4 linked regions of the Caenorhabditis elegans genome follow. The protein of the gene in region 3 interacts with the protein of the main gene of each other region in a pairwise test. Each region holds a gene or a part of one and is shown on either strand. Other genes may lie near its edges. The genes, in order: eef-1G, cfim-2, cfim-1 and chp-1.

Region 1 (4,488 bases), on a different chromosome or scaffold from region 3:
GAGAGCTGTTAGATACAAATCGTTCAGGAATAAGAACTTTTCGGGGAGCAGGTGGATCAGAATAGACTTGCGGGAGAGGATCATTCAAATTTCTGTCCGAGCTCATCGGTCGCATTTCCTCAGGTTCACCGAGTTTAAAACCGAATTCTTCAAGCCCTCCAAGATCTTGGTTCCCATAATTGAATTGTCGTTTGATAGCTCCAAGATCGGAAGACACTAAAATTAAAACATCAAGAGAAATTATATTTACAATCCCTCACTTCGGGTATCTTCATCTTCTTCAATGGCTTCTTCATTGAATAAACTATCTTTTTTGAGTGAAGTTCTATTCAAAAGGATTGAGTCGTCATCATCACTATCAACTGCAACATCTTCAGTTTTGTTTGAAACAGGCTTCTCGTTAGATGAATCATCTTTGAAGACATTAAACAAACAGATTCCTCTCTAAAATATTGTTACTTGAAAGTGCTCGAAAAGGGAAAAACTCACATTTGAATCAGCGACAATCAATTTTTTTGGGGAGAATGGAGAAAAAACAATAGAAGTGATGATAGTGATACCAGGTGCATTTCTCACGAATTTTTCACAACACACAATATCTCTGGAAAAAATGTATTATTTATCAGTTCACACATTTACCTAAATTTACAATTCATCACTATTCCAAACAGCAATTTGATTATCCATGGTTGAGGAGGCAAGATACTTCCCACACGGCGAAAGCGCAGTAACCGAAAAATCCACAGAAGCATGATCTTTCAAACGGTATACACCAGATTCTTCCCACCCATTTCGACGGTACGATTTCACACATCCTTTTGAAGGAACAAACAGCCATTGACCATCCTTTGACCATGAGAGTTGAATACGAGGTCGTGAAACACTGAAAAACAGGACATTGTTTAAAACCGAAGTATAACATGAAACACTAACTCAATTGTTTCAAATCTTGGGAAAACCTTGGTCAGTGTGTGTTTAATCGAGAATGAATCAATGTCTATAATAGTCACATTGCCATCCACAGTAGAAACGGCCACAAATTCATTTTTTGGATCCAGTTTGACACAAAGAACTTCAGCTTCAAGACTTCTCGTTTTCAGCTCTGCATCTAAATCTTTCATATTCGTGCATTTAACCGCATAATCGCTAGATCCTCCAATAACATTTTCCCTGTTTGCGTCGACCGTTGTGACATCCATTTGGAATTCAAGAGGATCAATAATATCTCCTGCTTCGAAATTGCCCTTTTTCGCCCGTCCCACCATTTGCTGCTCGGATCCAACAATGAAATCCACCTTGCGGTAACCAAAACAGATGTTTTCTCCATACCAAGCAATAGATGATGTTGTCGCATCGGGAATCTCGATTATTTCAGGTTTTTCATCTTGCAGCAACACGTTCTTATTGATCTTGAGTACATTTCGTTCAGCATCACAAACGTAAATCTGAAAAAAACAGGTAAATATGTTTATAAATCGTTTTAAATCCTACATTTTCAGTATCTTCTCCTGAAGCATCAATGCAGATAGTTTGAAGGCCGATATTCTCCAAATTTTTAACGTTAGTAAAGCTCATCTGAAAACAATGGAATTACGAGTGAAATTATTTATTTTCATCAAAAATAAATAAAATGCGAGCAAATTTTAAACCTGATTCTTGGCGCCGAAATGCGGTAAAAAAGTGTAATGCAACCATGGACCAGTGAACTGCGTAGAACCCCTATGTTTTGCGTACTGGCATTCTGCCAGGGGCACATACGCAGACTTTTCAGTGTATTTTTCCTCTGAAGAACACCACTCTTTTCAAGCGCCTCTTCTTTGAGCGTCGCTTCACTAGATTCTCCGACTCGTTGGTGACATCATGACCGGAGTAAGTTTATAAAATTAATTTCATTAAATTTGCAGTGCTGTTAAGAATAGTTAACGTGATTTCCGTTCGTTGCATTGAAAAATGATTAGGCCAAACCTTGAAATGACGAAATTTAACCAATTATTGATTTTTATTTTGCAGAAACTGTATGGAAACAAGGACAACTTCAGAACCCAAAAGGTTTTGATTGCTGCCAAGCTCGCCAACAAGACTGTCACCCTCGCCGGAGATGCTGCTCCAGCTGACAAGTTCCCACTTGGAGTTGTACGTTTTAATTTATTTAGATGTCAGTATTTGACGATCTGTGAACTATCAATGTGCAGAATTTCAGACCCCAGCATTTGAAGGAGATGCTCTTCTCTTCGGAGCTGAGTCGATCGGACTTCACCTGACTGGAACCTCAGCTAACGCCGAGACTGTCCAATGGCTTCAATTCGCAGAAGGTTATCTTCTTCCAGCTGTTCTCGGATACGTTCTTCCATCTGTGTCTGCAGCCAACTTTGACAAGAAGACTGTTGAACAATACAAGAATGAACTCAACGGACAACTCCAAGTACTCGATCGTGTTCTTGTTAAAAAGACCTACTTGGTTGGAGAACGTCTTTCTCTTGCCGACGTTTCCGTTGCTCTTGATCTTCTCCCAGCTTTCCAAGTACACTATGACCCAGATTATATGTATACACTCCTAATTTTCAGTATGTTCTTGATGCCAACGCTAGAAAGTCCATCGTCAACGTCACCCGTTGGTTCAGAACCGTTGTTAACCAGCCAGCTGTTAAGGAGGTTCTTGGAGAAGTTTCCCTTGCCTCATCGGTTGCTCAATTCAACCGTAAGTTTCTTTTTTGTTAGTGTGAATTTGTTTTGTTCCACTGCGAAGTCAGCAGACTAGTCAATCGATTAGTAGGCGTTACAGTGGTGGAATATCAAGATTTATGTACACCGTCTTTGCTTGAAACAGTTTTTGTTTTTGCTTTGTTCGGAACGTTTTTCATGGGACTGAGAGTTGGAAATTTAGCACTGGTCGTTTACAGGGTTGTCCTGCAGTCAATTCTAAGTTACCTTAGTTTATGTCCCACACATTTAAAAAGAAATCTAATTTTATAAAAAAACTTCTGATTTTGTATTCCCAGTTTAAATTTTATTCTTATTTTACAGAAGCCAAGTTCACTGAGCTCAGCGCTAAAGTCGCCAAGTCTGCTCCAAAGGCCGAGAAGCCAAAGAAAGAGGCCAAGCCAGCTGCTGCGGCTGCCCAGCCAGAGGACGATGAACCAAAGGAGGAGAAGAGCAAGGATCCATTCCAAGATATGCCAAAGGGAACATTCGTTCTTGACAATTTCAAGAGATCTTATTCCAACGAAGACACCGCTACCAAGGCTATCCCACACTTCTGGGAGAACTTCGATGCTGACAACTGGTCCATCTGGAAGTGCGAGTACAAATACCCAGAAGATCTCACTCTCGCCTTCATGAGCTGTAACCTTATCAATGGAATGTACCAAAGACTGGAGAAGTTGAAGAAGAATGCTTTCGCCTCCATGATTCTTTTCGGAACCGACAACAATTCGACCATCTCAGGAATCTGGGTGTGGAAGGGTGACAAGCTCGCCTTCGAACTCAGCCCAGACTGGCAGGTAGGACCATTTCCTCGATTTTGAATGTCGAAGAGTAGTCATTTGTATACGTGATACACTTATACAGAGTTACACTTTTCGTATATAAGTGCTTCTTCTCGTTGGAGTTGTTTATTTAATGAGCAATTACCTCTAAACTGAAAGCAACAATTTTATGAATTCTCGATAGTTTTCACAATAATATATTTCAGGTTGATTACGAATCGTACACCTGGACAAAGCTTGACGCCAAGTCCGATGCCACCAAGAAGGAAGTCAACGAGTATCTTATGTGGGAGGGAGACTTCGGAGGAAAGAAGTTCAACCAAGGAAAGATTTTCAAGTAAACTGGAGTTTCCATACAACCCGGTGTATTTGCCATTTAATCCTGTTGTTTACTCTGAGTCGGAAAGAATAAATTGTTTTCTATTGTTTATAAAGGACCCGGTATCACTTCAATAAATTATATCTTCTTCAAGTTGAGATTGAATTTATTCGTCTATAAGTGTTCCTAAATAATTTTAGATTTAAAAATTAGCTCCTAAGCTTGTTTCTTCGTTTTCGGTCGTCGTATAGTCCTCGATGTGTCCTTCGAAATATTCTTGATTTGCGTGTTCCAAAAAGCAAGATTTGATGTCGTTGAAATATTGTACACATTGCAAATGGTTGATTGAGAGGCTATTGACATCACTATCTTGACTCTGTAAAAATCATTGCGTGTCAGTAAAATGTCTCTCAAACCTGATCGCAGAAAGAGTGACAGTGTATTGGAACTAATGATTTGGAGCAGCATTCCGTGTGGTTTGTTCCTCGTGCCGCACAAAAATGAATCTTTTGAATTGCAGTCACTGGGCACACTGATTGTTGAAGAAACACTGCACTGACTTCTTCTGATGAGTACGTAGAATATGAGCATAAATCTGTGCAAGATGATTCAACTTCGAGAAGTGAGCAGCAGGTGGCAAAGTGCTCATCCGGTGTCTGTTATTTAGATATTATTGAAATTAAA
Region 2 (6,381 bases), on a different chromosome or scaffold from region 3:
TTAACTGTTTTTTACAATCAAAAAGAAACTATAACAGGTATCATTGTCTAGTAATGAGAAGAGCTCGCGTGATGATTTGAAGTTGGAATATAGACTTGTCTTGTTAAAGCTGGTGTTTCCTGTTGAGCACGTGGCCCTACTATCTCATCATCAGCGTCATCTACTACGACGCTTGTGAATGCATCTTCTTCAACGACTTCTTCTCCTACCGGCATCAGAATCATCATTTCATCGTTTGGGTGAGTAGGGTGTCCGTATTGATCAACAATTATTTGCTTTGGGCGAACATTCATGTGATGTTGATTATGCATTCGAGATTCTCGTACTTGAAGCTGAAAATTGATACTGGTATAAGTAATCTCGTACTTTTTATAAAATGAAAACTCACTGCGTCAATCTCTCGATATTTCTCGATTCTCATCTGTCTAGCAATCTCGGTTTCAGTTGGGTGTTCATGTCCAAGATGCCCGAAACAGGCGACAACTTCGTATTGCCCATGATTTCTCATACAACATTTAATAAATGCAGGACACTGCTCACATCTTCTGCCTTTCGATTGCCCTCGAGAATTTGAAAACAGGCATTTATAGAGCATTGTCCGAATAGCAAATGATACTTTTTGCGAAGTCCTAAGGAAAAACTCCGAATTCGTCGATTTTTCCATTTGCTTTTTCCACTTCTGAAAATGTTAAATAGTTGCAAATAATCAAATAATACATACCATAAATCCAGCTTTATCTTGGAAAGTCACTCTTCGAATTCGGAATGAATCAGTTGCCCTCGAAAGATCTCGATGTTCGGTGTCGACGTGAATCGCCAGATCCAAATATGTAGGAACACTAAAATATTTAGAGACTGAATATGTTTCTTTTTTATAAAAGTCAATACTTTTTATCACATCCATAACTTGGACAAACGATATTGCTCACAGACGATCCTCCAACAGCCATTTCGTCAACACGCGCACACGGGCTATTATCTTTTTTTAAATGGCTCGTTAATCCTGTCTTTGTGATAAACTCCATTCCACAATTTTCACAAGAATGCAACGATTTTCGCTTCGGCTGAAAATTAACTTGATTTTCAAATTTAGATAATTGAAATATACATTTGGTCTCCCGAGTCGTTTTTGCTGTTTCATCATTTCACATTGCTGCTTCGTGAAGCCATGATGATCAAATAAATGATTGTAAAATCGTTTATTTGTGAGATCTTCTTTACAGAAATGACACACCGAACTGCAAAATTTTCAAATCTTTGCGGATTCGGCTAATTGATTTACTTACTGGTCTTGATTAGCAGCATATATATTTTCAGGTGTAAAATAAGTTCCTTCCATAACATAACATGGCACATCTGTCTGTTCTTGAACTTGAACCATAGTACCCGGACCATCGTTGTACTCCTCCTGACAGTAAATTATTTGCTGAAAATAAATATTTAATTTGAAATGGGAGAATGAGTTACCTCTTCTGCGACTTCAAGTTCTTCATAAGCTTCATGATTTACTATATCGTTTTGCTTATATCCGTCATTCATGATGAAAACTGTAAAAGCTTAACTTCAAAAATATTTTTAAAAAAATGTTTTTCAAAATCAATTTTTTTTTTCGTAAATCGACATTTGCAAACGACACTCCGTTGAACAGACACGCTTGTTGTTTAGCGTGCACGCCCCACCCATGTTGCGTTAATAAATATTTTTTGATTTTATCGATTAATTAAATAATTGTTCACTTATTCTGTTAGAAGACAATTGAATTTTGACTTTTTAATTTTCTCTCTTAAAATTCATGTAACCGTTGTTTGTTTGAGGATTGATGGCTGAATTGGACGAAGCAGCGTTGTTAGGTGACGGTAACGAACAACATGATGGTCCCATAGACGAGAATGCGTTGCTGGATGGGTAAATACTTTAATGAAAAAAGAAAATGCTAAAAATTTATTTTTTGATCCAGAAAAGAGCTCAAGGAAGAAGATATTGACGATCTGTACGATGAAGCGATTGCACCCACAAATTCAGTGAGTTTTCTAATGAATTCTTATTAAATCCTTATAATTCTTTATTTTAGACGGAATCAGCAAAACCTGTTTCACCAACAATCACCACTGTGACTGCTCCAACTGCTGGAATTGGTGCAAAACCAGCGACGTCTTCGGAAGGAAGAAAATATTGCTGCTACGTGGGAAACCTTCTCTGGTATACTACAGATGCTGATTTATTGGTAAGTGACTGTAAAACTGAATGTCTTCAATAAATTTTGTCCAGAAAGCTCTTCAATCCACCGGCCTTGCACGATCTCAATTCGCTGACATGAAGTTTTTCGAGAACAGAACGAATGGACAAAGCAAGGGATATGCTTTATTGGTTTTGAATTCTGATGCTGGTTAGTAGAAACTAACAAGATATTTCTAAAAACTTTATTTCATTGCAGCGGTAAAACAAACTATGGAGATTCTCCCAACTAAAACTATCCATGGCCAAAGTCCAACTGTTTTGTCGTACAATAAAACGAATCAGGCAAAGCTGGAAGATGCGCAAGCAAAAAATCAGACCCGTCCAGACGTCAAGAAAAAGGTAAAAAAAGAGAATATAACACTATCGTTGAAATTAGTGCTGTGACTCTCTGCTACTCCACGGCGCACCGATATAAACGTTTTCCACTTGGTACTTGTGGTCGTCGAGGGAAGCGCAGTCGGTTGCGCAGTTGGCTGTCAGTCAGCAGTCCGCGTGATCGATTCCCGCCCGCGCCTAGAAACTCAGCGGTGTTTTGTCTTTATGATCATGAGCTGGTAGCAGGTGCAATATTGATTCGGAGTCTTACCGGCGTCCACCTTCTGAAGGGTGTGCGTTAAAAGTTCATCCGAACAATTTATCACTTTTTAATAAAGTTTTCGAAAAGTTATACTAATTATGAACATTTTTAATTTGGCAGGGTTTCGAAGAAGGATGTGTCAATATGGGAACTATTCGTATTGGAGCTGGAGGGCAAACTGGTCGAACTGGAACAAGTGTCTCTGGTAGATCTGGACCTCCACCTCTCATGATGCAGCAAGTTCGACCAACTCCTTTGATGAGCCAACCTACATCTCTGCCAAGCAATCTAAATCAAGCTCCTCAAATGCGATTACAAATCAACGGACAACAAGTTCCATTAATGAACCGTGCTCCTGTGCCACAACAAACAATGTTAGGAAATGGACCATTAGGTGGAATGAATCAACAAATTCAACAACAACCTCAAATGATGATGGGACAACAAGTTCGACCAATGATGCAAACATCAATGGGAATACAACCAATGATGGGAATGAATGCACCACCTCCAATGAATAATCAATTCCAGAATAGGTAATCGTATAATAATCCTCTATCATTCTTTTTCATTTCCAAATAGTTCTAGACCACCACAACTTGGTTCAATGGGTGTTCAGCCACTTATGCAAATGAATACAGCTATGCGTCCTCCTATCAACGGTCTTCCACCAGTCCATGTCAATCCACAGGTAATGGTTTTTTGAAAACTAAAAATAATTTTGAATGATAATTTTATTATTTTCAGATGTTCCCCGGACTTCAAGGAACAGTTTTATCTGACGCTGAGTTCGAAGATGTAATGACAAGAAATCAAACTGTATCATCGTCAGCTATAGCTCGAGCAATAACTGATGCATCTGTTGGAGATATTAAAGGAGCATCTGAGACTATATTGACAGCAATTCAATTGATTAAAAACAGTCGAATTGGACATGATGAAAGATGCAGACAATTGGTTTATGGATTGGAAGTACGTTTAAAAAAAATCCTTCTTGAGCAAAACTCTAATTTCCATTGAAGTTTAAATGATAGAAAATGGACCTTAATGACCGTTAAAAAATGTTCGATTTTTTATGATTTTTCGATAAAAAACTCGATAAAAAATTTTTCATCGTTTGTCAATTTATTAGTTATGTCTCTGTAAGAAAAACTTAATTGATAAGAAATAAATTTACTGAAACAAAACTTTTTTGCTAACATATCAGTGATTTAAAATTTAATTTATAAATCTAAAAAAAACGGTGTTTCAAATCAAATATCAAAGAAAAAATCAAGAAAAACCGATGAATCTAAACATTTATGCAAATTTGAAAAAAAAAACCATCAAAAATTCAGAAATTTAATTAAGTTTTTAAACAGTTATCTCAATATGGTCATTATGGCTTTTTTCTTTCATTTGATACAAAATTTCACAACGACCATACTCCACCTTTACAGAAATACAAAGTAAATCGCAATTTTTTTTCATAATTATATATTTTCCAGCACACACTCAAAGGCCTTGAATCAAAAGGATATTCGTCTCGTTCAAAATCACATCGTGATCGTTCAAGAAGTCGCGAAAGAGATCGCAAAAGAAGAAGACGCAGTCGCACTCGCTCACGGTTCGTTTTGGAGCAACAATTTTTTTTGAAAAAATATTTTTTTAGCTCATACTCGCGGTCACCATCTCCACGCCGTCGTCGTTATTAAATAACACGACTTTCTTCAAATTCAAGATTATTTCTATTTTACTCTTCAATTTTCACTTTTTCAACAATTTGGTAATGCCGATGCTTGCTTTTGCACAAAACAATTTTCAATTTTTCAGATCCAAAAATGTTATATAATCTCTAAATTTCATTCTCAATGTTCACTGGTCGATTTCGATTTATTCTCACTTGCATACGGGATCTGCTCACTTGTACTCTAAAATTGTAAGTTTTTGACTTTTTAATTGATTTTCAGATTTGTTCTTTCAATTACCTTTCATTGTTCTATTTAAAATCGTTTTGAATGTAACTCCTCAAGTATTGGGTCATTTCGAAATTTCAGTTGTATCGGGAGTATTTCGAAAAAAGTATGCTATGAAATTTGTAACATTTTGCTAGTATTTATTGAGAGCACATTAAAATTGTAATATTTTCATTTAAAATAAGCTTGGGTTTGGGTAAGCATTGATTCTATAATGTGAAATTGATATTTTTTTTGATTGAAATAGATTTTTAATGGTGTTAGTTGTTTTTATCATTTAAGCTTCCTATGTGTTTAATTCTATATTTTGTCCTTTAAATGTAGTTTTGTTTATTCACTTACGTCTTGAAATTTGATAGGTTTCAGCTGAAATGATAATTTGAAAATTATTTGTTAATCCTTTTTGTCAAAAAATTTAAAAGTTTTAGGCATTAATTGTAATGTCAGTGATAATGTGAAGAAATAAGCATAGCTGATATTTTCTATTGTATTTTTTTATCTCATTTCAATTGTATTTTCCAACAGGTCCAGCAGCATCCACGTGGCATCGAGTTCAAATCGGAATCGTCAAAAAAAATCCCCGCAAAATCCTCTCAACAGAAATTTTTTCTTGATCTGAAATTCACATTTTGTTTTCTAAAATTTCCAAACATTTTAAATGATTAATTGTAATTCGAGCACATTCGATGAAAATTCATTGAATTTGTTGACAATTGTGTTGTGAATCCCGTTTCAATTCTTCAATAAGAATTTAATTGGTAAGCCAATATTTTTTATTGTATTTATTCACTTATCCAAAATCCCTGGTCTCATTTTCGTGAGTGCTTCCTTTTATTTTTCCTGATCCTCGCATTTACATGGTTGAAATCATTGCTTTCAGAATGTGTTTCAAGCAAAATAAAAAAAACTTATGTTCATATTTCAGAATACTGGCTATCTTCCAACTCAACAATGATTCGTGTACACATTTTCTCATCAGTGCTCACTATTGGATTATCTTTTATAAACGTTGTCTTTAAAAGTTTTGTTTAATTTAATAAATTGCAAATAAGAAATGTGTTTTCATTGCTTCCTTTCCCATGAAGTCGAATTTGTCGACTGATGTAGTACCTCTAGAATGAATTGGATATTTTAAATATGGAGTAATTTAGGATGCCATCAGAAGAAGGATCGGTGGTACGATGGCTCGTGTGTGGGGCGACAGCTGGTTTAGCAGTTGATATTGGATTATATCCATTGGATACAATTAAATCAAGAATGCAATCTAAACAAGGATTCATTGCAGCTGGAGGTTTTAAAGATATTTATAGGTGAATACTTGGAAAAAATGGATATAATTAGTTGGTTTTCGGACATTTGAGAGCTTAACCCAAAATTAAATTCAAAAATTCAGATAAATGAGGACGCAGAAAATAAACTTTCGAAATGGAAACAAAACGCTCCGCCCCCGAACCTAGGGTCTCGTTAGGTATTTGGCGGCAAATCTGTAAATCCAAACGTTTTAAAGTAGTTTTGCCAATTTCACCAATTTTCAAGTAATTTTCTTTTTTTAATCAATTTTGGCATAAACCTCATTAAACATATCTGGAAACATAACCAAAAAGCTTTTAA
Region 3 (3,543 bases):
GAAAATCGTAGTATAGAAAATCACTTAAATTATCCAAAAAGTTGATATTTGCCCAAAAACAAAGTTAGATAACTCGATAATCAGTAATTGACAACTTTCAGATCATTTTTAAGCACTTTCTCAAATTTTTCAACTGGAATTAATTTGATTTTCGGACACATCAAGTGATTTTCTATACTTTGACATTGAATTTCAATTAAAAAAATGTTGGAACAAGCAGGTTATTTTGTTTAATTGCAACCGCCCATTTCTGATAGAACTATATTGTCATTATAGTAAGGTTTAAAAAAAACTATAATTCAAAAAATAGTCATACCCGTATGATAAATATGAATTAGAGCTCTAAGAGGACTCCATCCACTCGGAATTCGCCCTGTTTGCATCCGCCTTCTCACAATATCGAGTGGATATGACGATGATTGACCGATCAAACCAGCTAACATTCCAAATAACATTCGGTAGTAGGAATTTTCCTGAATTATCATACATAATAACGTATAGAAATAATTTCTCAACTCACAACTTCACCTCTATGATCTCGATACATAATCTTAAGAGTTTCGTATGTGAAGAAGGAAGATCCAGCGTATGGTATTACTCCTGTAATCAACAAAAATCGATAAGAAAGATGTTTTTCATAAGAATTCCTACCTAGTATAGTTGGATAAATCCCTCTGTACAATAGTTGAATACCACCTTCTTTATATGTTTTTACAAAAACATGTTTCAAAGAACTATATTGTAATTTTGAAGAGACTGAAAGACGAGCTTTTGCGGTGTCTAAAGGATAAGTGATCATTGTAGCTGTTGTGGCGGCAAGAGAACCTGTTATATATCGTTTCACGGGTGTTCGACTTCTGGAAATTAACATTTTGAAGTTAAATTTGCCACCTCGGTGTGAAAAAAACTTTAAAACTCACCCATTTTCGTCAACTTTCAGCAATTTTTTATACTGCTCGAAGGCTGCGAATTGCATCGACGCGTATGGCACAACACGAGCCATCGTCGCAGAATTTCCACGATACAATGCAAAGAATCCATTTTCCCGATATGTTAGTTTTATGAATTTAATGGCAGATCGGAATGAGTAACCACGTGTACTTGAAACTGGAACATACAAAAAATTAGGTGTATTTTCGATTGTTTCGAAGTGACATAATTCTTACCTTGAAAATAAATTTTAGTTCGATCCAAAGGTGCGATTGTAGTTTTGGCTAAAGCTCCGGCGATCGCGCCTGCGGATAGTGACAAAACGACACTGGGCCTCTGTTTTCCCTGAAAATATGATTTTATGACAGAGATGTTCCAAAATTTATTTAAAATCTTACCTCATTTGAGTCGTGCGGCATGAAAATTGCAAAAAAATCACGAGTCTTTGCTGGTTTTTCTAGTTGGAATGATACAAAGTCAACGATTTATCTGCAAGATCATCATGTGTTATTGGATATAAATTCACATAATTAACATAACAAAACGATTCAAAAACGAAATTTCAAAGAATGTCTAGAGTATCATACTGGGAGCAAAGAATTTCAAGGTGAAGAGTAATGAAAAAAGTGATGTGTGATTTTTCTCTGGCGTCTCTTTATCTTCCTTACCGATTGTTTACACTTAAAATGTGACTGGCTAGTAGTTGATAGGCGAGCGTTCTTTGACGTCTGCGTCTTAACTAGTTTCTCATTGAGATGTTCGTTTTAGACGGTCAAAAATTATAGAAATGAACAAAATATTGTTGTTTTTTAGATTTTTACGATAAAGGCGTGAAAATTTTATAAATTTGATTCAGACGGACTAGTTTTCACACGTTGCAACCGCGCCCCATGGACAAACTGTTTCTAGGCCATCTGTACATTTTTTTTGTAATTTTGTTTTCAAACAATTTTTTCCAGTTTTCAATTCATTTTTTTTAATTTGCTCTTCGTCAATATTTAATTGTGTACTCTAAATTGGTTCAAAATTTAAATATAATTTCAGTTAAAATGGAAGACATCTGGCCAACAATCGAAAGAACAACAATTTCAGCATCTGTGCCCGAGGCTCCAGCGAACTTTGATGAAAAACCTCCGTTCAATCGAACAATCAACGTGTATCCGTTGACTAATTACACATTTGGTACTAAAGATGCACAAGCAGAAAAAGACAAATCAGTTCCAGAAAGGTTCAAACGAATGAAAGACGAATATGAAGTGGTAGGTGTTCTCTAATTGTCTCCAACCGATATCAATTATTTTTTTAGATGGGAATGCGTAGATCAGTTGAAGCGGTGCTTATTGTTCATGAGCACTCACTTCCACATATCCTACTCCTGCAGATTGGTACCACCTTTTATAAATTGTGAGATTAATTCCTATTAAAATCTGAAAGTTTCATAAAAAAATTGCAGGCCGGGTGGAGAATTGGAACTTGGTGAGGATGAGATATCTGGAGTCACACGTCTTCTAAACGAGACACTCGGAAGAACCGATGGGGAGACAAACGAATGGACAATCGAGGATGAGATAGGCAACTGGTGGCGACCAAACTTTGATCCTCCCCGTTACCCGTACATCCCTGCGCACGTGACAAAACCCAAGGAGCACACCAAGCTGTTGCTTGTTCAGTTGCCCTCAAAATGTAAGAGACTGAAAAATTGATAAGATCAAAATTTAAAGTGTCTTCGAATTTTTTCCCTAATTGAAACCTAAGCAGTTTAATGTTTTGTACATTTCAGCAACATTCTGCGTTCCCAAAAACTTCAAACTCGTCGCAGCTCCACTCTTTGAACTTTATGACAACGCAGCCGCCTATGGACCACTGATTTCCTCTCTTCCAACCACTCTTTCGAGATTTAATTTCATTTTCAATGACTCCAACTAAATATTTTTATTATCTGTTACTTTTTGTGTCTTCCTATTTTGTAAATGACCTTGTTCACTCTAATTTTGCTCCTACCAAATCTTCGATTTTGTTATGTATGATCTCTCAAATCGTTAGTATGAATTTAAAAATAAATTATTTCTTCATTTTCATTCGTTGTAATTTAATTCTTCCAACAACAAATATGATGAAACAAATTATGCAGATCGTGGCTTGTATACAAAACACTGTGAAGACGCTTGTTTCGATGGAAATTCTGAAAGAATATTTCATATTACGTAGAAGTTGAGAAAATACGCCATATCTTACGGTCTTGGGTCTCGCCACGCGGACAACCAGTTATTGTAATTGAATCTTGATATTCAAATTAAATGATAATTTCTGACATTATTTTTAAAAAAGTTGCTAGCGTGGTGAGACCCATGCGCGAGACTCATGCCTCTTTAATTTAAGCAGGAAATAAAATACAATAGAAAAGTAACTAAAGAAAACGTAACTAAAGAAGTAACTAAAGAAAGAAAACTAACTTACCTATCAAACTTCATATTGTTAATTCTTGATACGGACGTTGTTGTTTCAGTGTTTCAGATTGAATATAGCGAATTTTTCGTTCAAAATGGATGAACGGCTCACAAAACTTTCAATTCACATTTAGAAATACATTGAGAAATAACAAACTCAAAGAAA
Region 4 (3,617 bases), 3.5 Mb from region 3:
TAGAAATTATGTAAAAATTTGTATCTTTAAAGCAAAATTACAAGATCGAATTTGCTTGTCTAAAATATCTACAAACCTTGCTTTCAGCTTCAGCGAGTAATTTCAGTTGCAAGACTTCCTGTCGGTACTCGTGGAGAATATCATTTGTGGTTCTGGAAAAGTAAAACTATAAATATTAAAAAATGTATTTTGAAAAACTCACTCATCGTTTTGAAGTGTATAAATCATTTTATTGAGAATCTTTGTAGCTGCAGAAACCTGAAATAAGAAAAATAATTAATTAAACAGAACTTAAAATGTGATACTTGCTTTCCAAACGTTTGCTGACATATCCTCTTTTGTCAAGCGCTTTGTTCGCTCGAGAAGTCGTAGAAATTTCAGCTCATTTTCAGAAATATACGCCATTTCATTGATGTTTTGACAAAATTAGATAAAAAAATAAAAATAAACGTTGACAACTTGAAAACAAATAAGTTCGGCCACGGCCGAGAAATACAAAAATGCAAATGCGCTCATGCGCGAAAAAATTTTCAAGTCATCCTTTTTGTCGAGGACTGAGAGATTCTTCTTGTTTTATGTAATTTTTCTATAGGTTTCTGCCGTTTATATTTTAAAATCATATTTGTCTAGATTATCTTTATATTTTCAGAGAATGGCCCGTCGTTACGATAGTAGAACGACCATCTTCTCTCCGGAGGGAAGACTGTATCAAGTCGAATATGCTATGGAGGCTATCAGCCATGCTGGAACTTGCCTCGGCATTCTCTCATCGGAAGGAATCGTCGTTGCTGCTGAGAGAAAGAACGTTCACAAGTTGCTGGATGATTCTGTCATGACTGAAAAGGTCTACCGTCTTTCGGACAACATCTCGTGCACTGTCGCTGGTATCACCGCCGACGCGAACATCCTCATCAACCACTTGAGATGGTGGGCTGCCAGCTATCGTAACAGTTACGGAGAGGAAATGCCAGTTGAGCAGCTCGTCCAGAATCTTTGCAATGAAAAGCAGAGATACACGCAGATTGGTTTGTTGATAACTTCTCTCTTGATTTCTATTAATATGATTTTCAGGAGGAAAGAGACCGTTCGGAGTGTCACTTCTCTATATCGGATGGGATAAGCACTACGGATATCAACTTTACCAATCTGATCCTTCCGGAAACTACACTGGATGGAAGGCAACCTGCATCGGAAGCAACCACCAGGCTGCCGTAACCTTGTTGAAACAGGAGTACAAATCCCCAAATCTTGAAGAAGCAAAGCAGTTGGCTATCAAGGTTCTCTGGAAGACTTTGGATGTGAAGCTCGCTTCCGAGAAAGTTGAGATGGCTGTTTTGACTCGTCGTGATGGAAAGACTGTGCTCGAAGAGCTCACCACCAAGGAAGTCGATGCTCTGATTGCTGAGCACGAGAAGAAAGAAAAGGAAGCTGAGACTGCTGAGAAGAAGTAATCTATTGCCTTTGAAATAATCTTTCAAGACTGTATTGTAAACCATCCTCCCACCCGTTTAATTTATTGTCTGGTTTTATTTCTTATCACCCATATTCCTATCTCAAACGTCGGTGAAAATTAAATATTTGTATTTTTAAATTTTGCTTTCTTTAATTCACCTTGTTGTTGTCCGTGCAAATCTTTGATTATTTGGTCAAGCGAGAGTGCTGGAAAAAAGAAGGAGTGTGCCGCAACATTGCAATGGGCGGAGTCTCGAATTTTCTCGAGCATTTGGGGGAAAACTGGATTATTAAGCCGAAATCTTCAGAAAAAAAATCGCTTTTGCATTTTTAGATGGTTGACGAAAGTAAACTGCAGTGCTATCATAAAGGATGCGGTCTCCTTTTCGATCCCAAGGAGAATGACAACGGTAAGATTAATTGGAAAATAAAAAAAATCAGTTTAATTTTTCAGAAGCTTGTACATATCACCCTGGGGGTCCGTATTTCCATGATGCATACAAGATTTGGACATGTTGTGATAAGAAAAGTACTGATTTCGGTACATGGATGAATTATAAAGGATGTACGCGTGGAAAACACAGCAATGAAAAACCAGTCGATATTGTAAAAGTTGCCGCGGTAAAGGAAATTCGACCAGAGAAAGAAGAAGATGTTATTGTTTGGAAAGGGCTCAATAAATCTGGAAAATTGGATAGCAAGGATGCGACAAAGAGAATTGAGCAAAATTTGAATGTTTGTATTTTTAAATTAAATTTTTTATAACAAACACGTATTGCAGGTTGAAGTGACGCCTGGAGCAACCGCAGCTATTGAGAAAAAGCTGAAAGAAATATCTGAAGCTGCTCAAAGTGCGGATATTCAAATTGGCGCCCCATGTCGAAACAATGGATGTTCTACTGAATTCGATGGATCGAAAAACAAGGAAAACTGTCAGCATCACCCTGGAGCTGCCATTTTCCACGAAGGAATGAAGTATTGGTCGTGTTGTAACAAGAAAACTTCTAATTTTGGAGCTTTCCTTGAGCAAGTGGGCTGCACTTCAGGCGAACATAAGTTCAGAAATGTGAGTTGAAAAAACTTCAAAACTTCAAAAAAAAATCGGCGTTTTTCAGAATGAAATTGTCAGCAAATTCCGAGAAGATTGGTTTTCGAGCAATGGATTTGTCACCATCAACGTGTATTGTAGAGGTGCTCTACCCGAAACCGCAAACATCGTTTCCGATGGTCACACCGTTCGAGTGAGTATGAAGCACGGATTTGGAAATGCAAGCGTGGATCTCGATTACGATTTATGGGATGAAGTTATTCCCGAGGAAAGTCGTGTTGTCATTGGCGAAAGAAAGGTCGAAATTTCATTGAAACAAAAACACGGAACCGGATGGCCTCGTCTCAAATTTGATCCTGAACTGGATGCAAAAAATGATGAAGAAGCTTAAACTTTGATTTTAATTTCCATCAAACATATCTTTCTATTTGTTCCCAAACCGTTTCCCAATCCCACATTGATCTTCTATGAACCTGAATAATTTTAAATCATGGCGATAACCATTTTCTTCATAGCCAGTAGGATTTCTTCTTCTTTCTTCCGAGAGATCCCACTATAAATGACAATTTAGTTTTTTTCTAATTTTTTGCTTCATAAATATAAAATATGCGTTTGTTACCTTCATAGTTTTTGTTAAAACTTCCAAAATTTCGCAAGAGCGAGTTGAAATTATTTATTCGTCGTCTCGCCACGAGTAAAAAAATTCGTGGCGTGTCCCTTTAAGGTCATTACCGTACACGTGAATGCAACGCCAATATTTTCAAAATTTGTTCGACAAGTTTTCATTATTCAAAATATGACAGAAGCATCGGAGATTAATCTTTCCGATATCAAAGGACCAATTGATGTCAACACTCCAATCACCAATCACCGAACCGCGTTGATTCAAAATTACTCCACGAAACCTAAATTGGTAAGTTCAAAATTTCTGGAAAATGAAAATATGTTCAAGATTTCAGACATATCAAACTGTTTTCGGAGTCAATGGACCACTTGTCATCGTTCACAATGTTAAATTTCCAATGTTCAATGAAATCGTAAAGATCACACTTCCAAATGGACAAATTCGAATGGGACAGGTTCTGGAGTCTTCAAAGAACAAGGCAGTTGTGCAGGT

What was found.
Region 1: the proteins of cfim-1 (region 3) and eef-1G interact in a two-hybrid assay, tested with the Caenorhabditis elegans proteins (one large-scale study listed by BioGRID).
Region 2: the proteins of cfim-1 (region 3) and cfim-2 interact in a two-hybrid assay, tested with the Caenorhabditis elegans proteins (one large-scale study listed by BioGRID).
Region 4: the proteins of cfim-1 (region 3) and chp-1 interact in a two-hybrid assay, tested with the Caenorhabditis elegans proteins (one large-scale study listed by BioGRID).

The regions. Positions count from the first base shown.
Region 1 is NC_003283.11:10,963,965-10,968,452, forward strand, and holds eef-1G (putative elongation factor 1-gamma), read left to right. Parts: upstream 1-1,754; 5' UTR 1,755-1,860; coding exon 1,861-1,869; intron 1,870-2,010; coding exon 2,011-2,133; coding exon of another isoform or gene 2,134-2,155; intron 2,156-2,200; coding exon 2,201-2,521; intron 2,522-2,565; coding exon 2,566-2,698; intron 2,699-2,733; exon of another isoform or gene 2,734-2,951; intron 2,952-3,024; coding exon 3,025-3,500; intron 3,501-3,525; exon of another isoform or gene 3,526-3,652; intron 3,653-3,691; coding exon 3,692-3,826; 3' UTR 3,827-3,958; downstream 3,959-4,488. Other genes in the region: ctf-4 (WDHD1/CFT4 second beta-propeller domain-containing protein), read right to left, coding at 1-216, 261-444, 490-601, 650-883, 934-1,445, 1,492-1,575; dbd-16 (DB domain-containing protein), read right to left, coding at 4,007-4,180, 4,221-4,460. UniProt on the Caenorhabditis elegans protein: Probably plays a role in anchoring the complex to other cellular components.
Region 2 is NC_003282.8:8,924,521-8,930,901, forward strand, and holds cfim-2 (RRM domain-containing protein), read left to right. Parts: upstream 1-1,807; 5' UTR 1,808-1,819; coding exon 1,820-1,905; intron 1,906-1,951; coding exon of another isoform or gene 1,952-1,957; coding exon 1,958-2,021; intron 2,022-2,071; coding exon 2,072-2,224; intron 2,225-2,268; coding exon 2,269-2,386; intron 2,387-2,434; coding exon 2,435-2,577; intron 2,578-2,621; exon of another isoform or gene 2,622-2,873; intron 2,874-2,935; coding exon 2,936-3,351; intron 3,352-3,397; coding exon 3,398-3,506; intron 3,507-3,562; coding exon 3,563-3,787; intron 3,788-4,302; coding exon 4,303-4,421; intron 4,422-4,466; coding exon 4,467-4,509; 3' UTR 4,510-4,580; intron 4,581-4,627; 3' UTR 4,628-4,733; intron 4,734-5,295; 3' UTR 5,296-5,528; intron 5,529-5,695; 3' UTR 5,696-5,721; coding exon of another isoform or gene 5,722-5,802; 3' UTR 5,803-5,826; downstream 5,827-6,381. Other genes in the region: D1046.2 (C2H2-type domain-containing protein), read right to left, coding at 48-332, 389-679, 722-839, 889-1,064, 1,109-1,238, 1,287-1,426, 1,468-1,539; D1046.18 (uncharacterized protein), read left to right, coding at 5,722-5,802; slc-25A26 (Mitochondrial carrier protein PET8), read left to right, coding at 5,923-6,080.
Region 3 is NC_003279.8:8,613,414-8,616,956, forward strand, and holds cfim-1 (Cleavage and polyadenylation specificity factor subunit 5), read left to right. Parts: upstream 1-1,974; 5' UTR 1,975-1,979; coding exon 1,980-2,189; intron 2,190-2,236; coding exon 2,237-2,334; intron 2,335-2,383; coding exon 2,384-2,613; intron 2,614-2,710; coding exon 2,711-2,856; 3' UTR 2,857-2,991; downstream 2,992-3,543. Other genes in the region: slc-25A42 (Mitochondrial coenzyme A transporter SLC25A42), read right to left, coding at 317-473, 521-600, 652-857, 921-1,107, 1,167-1,275, 1,329-1,349; F43G9.21 (uncharacterized protein), read right to left, coding at 2,992-3,112, 3,388-3,401.
Region 4 is NC_003279.8:5,103,081-5,106,697, reverse strand, and holds chp-1 (Cysteine and histidine-rich domain-containing protein 1), read left to right. Parts: upstream 1-1,786; coding exon 1,787-1,862; intron 1,863-1,906; coding exon 1,907-2,187; intron 2,188-2,233; coding exon 2,234-2,518; intron 2,519-2,567; coding exon 2,568-2,891; 3' UTR 2,892-3,117; downstream 3,118-3,617. Other genes in the region: use-1 (Vesicle transport protein USE1), read right to left, coding at 77-152, 203-258, 310-405; pas-3 (Proteasome subunit alpha type-4), read left to right, coding at 653-1,025, 1,072-1,451; spe-5 (V-type proton ATPase subunit B 2), read left to right, coding at 3,297-3,413, 3,460-3,617. UniProt on the Caenorhabditis elegans protein: Regulates centrosome duplication. Controls the secretion of the tyrosine kinase receptor let-23/EGFR from the endoplasmic reticulum and is required for the localization of let-23/EGFR to the plasma membrane of vulval precursor cells.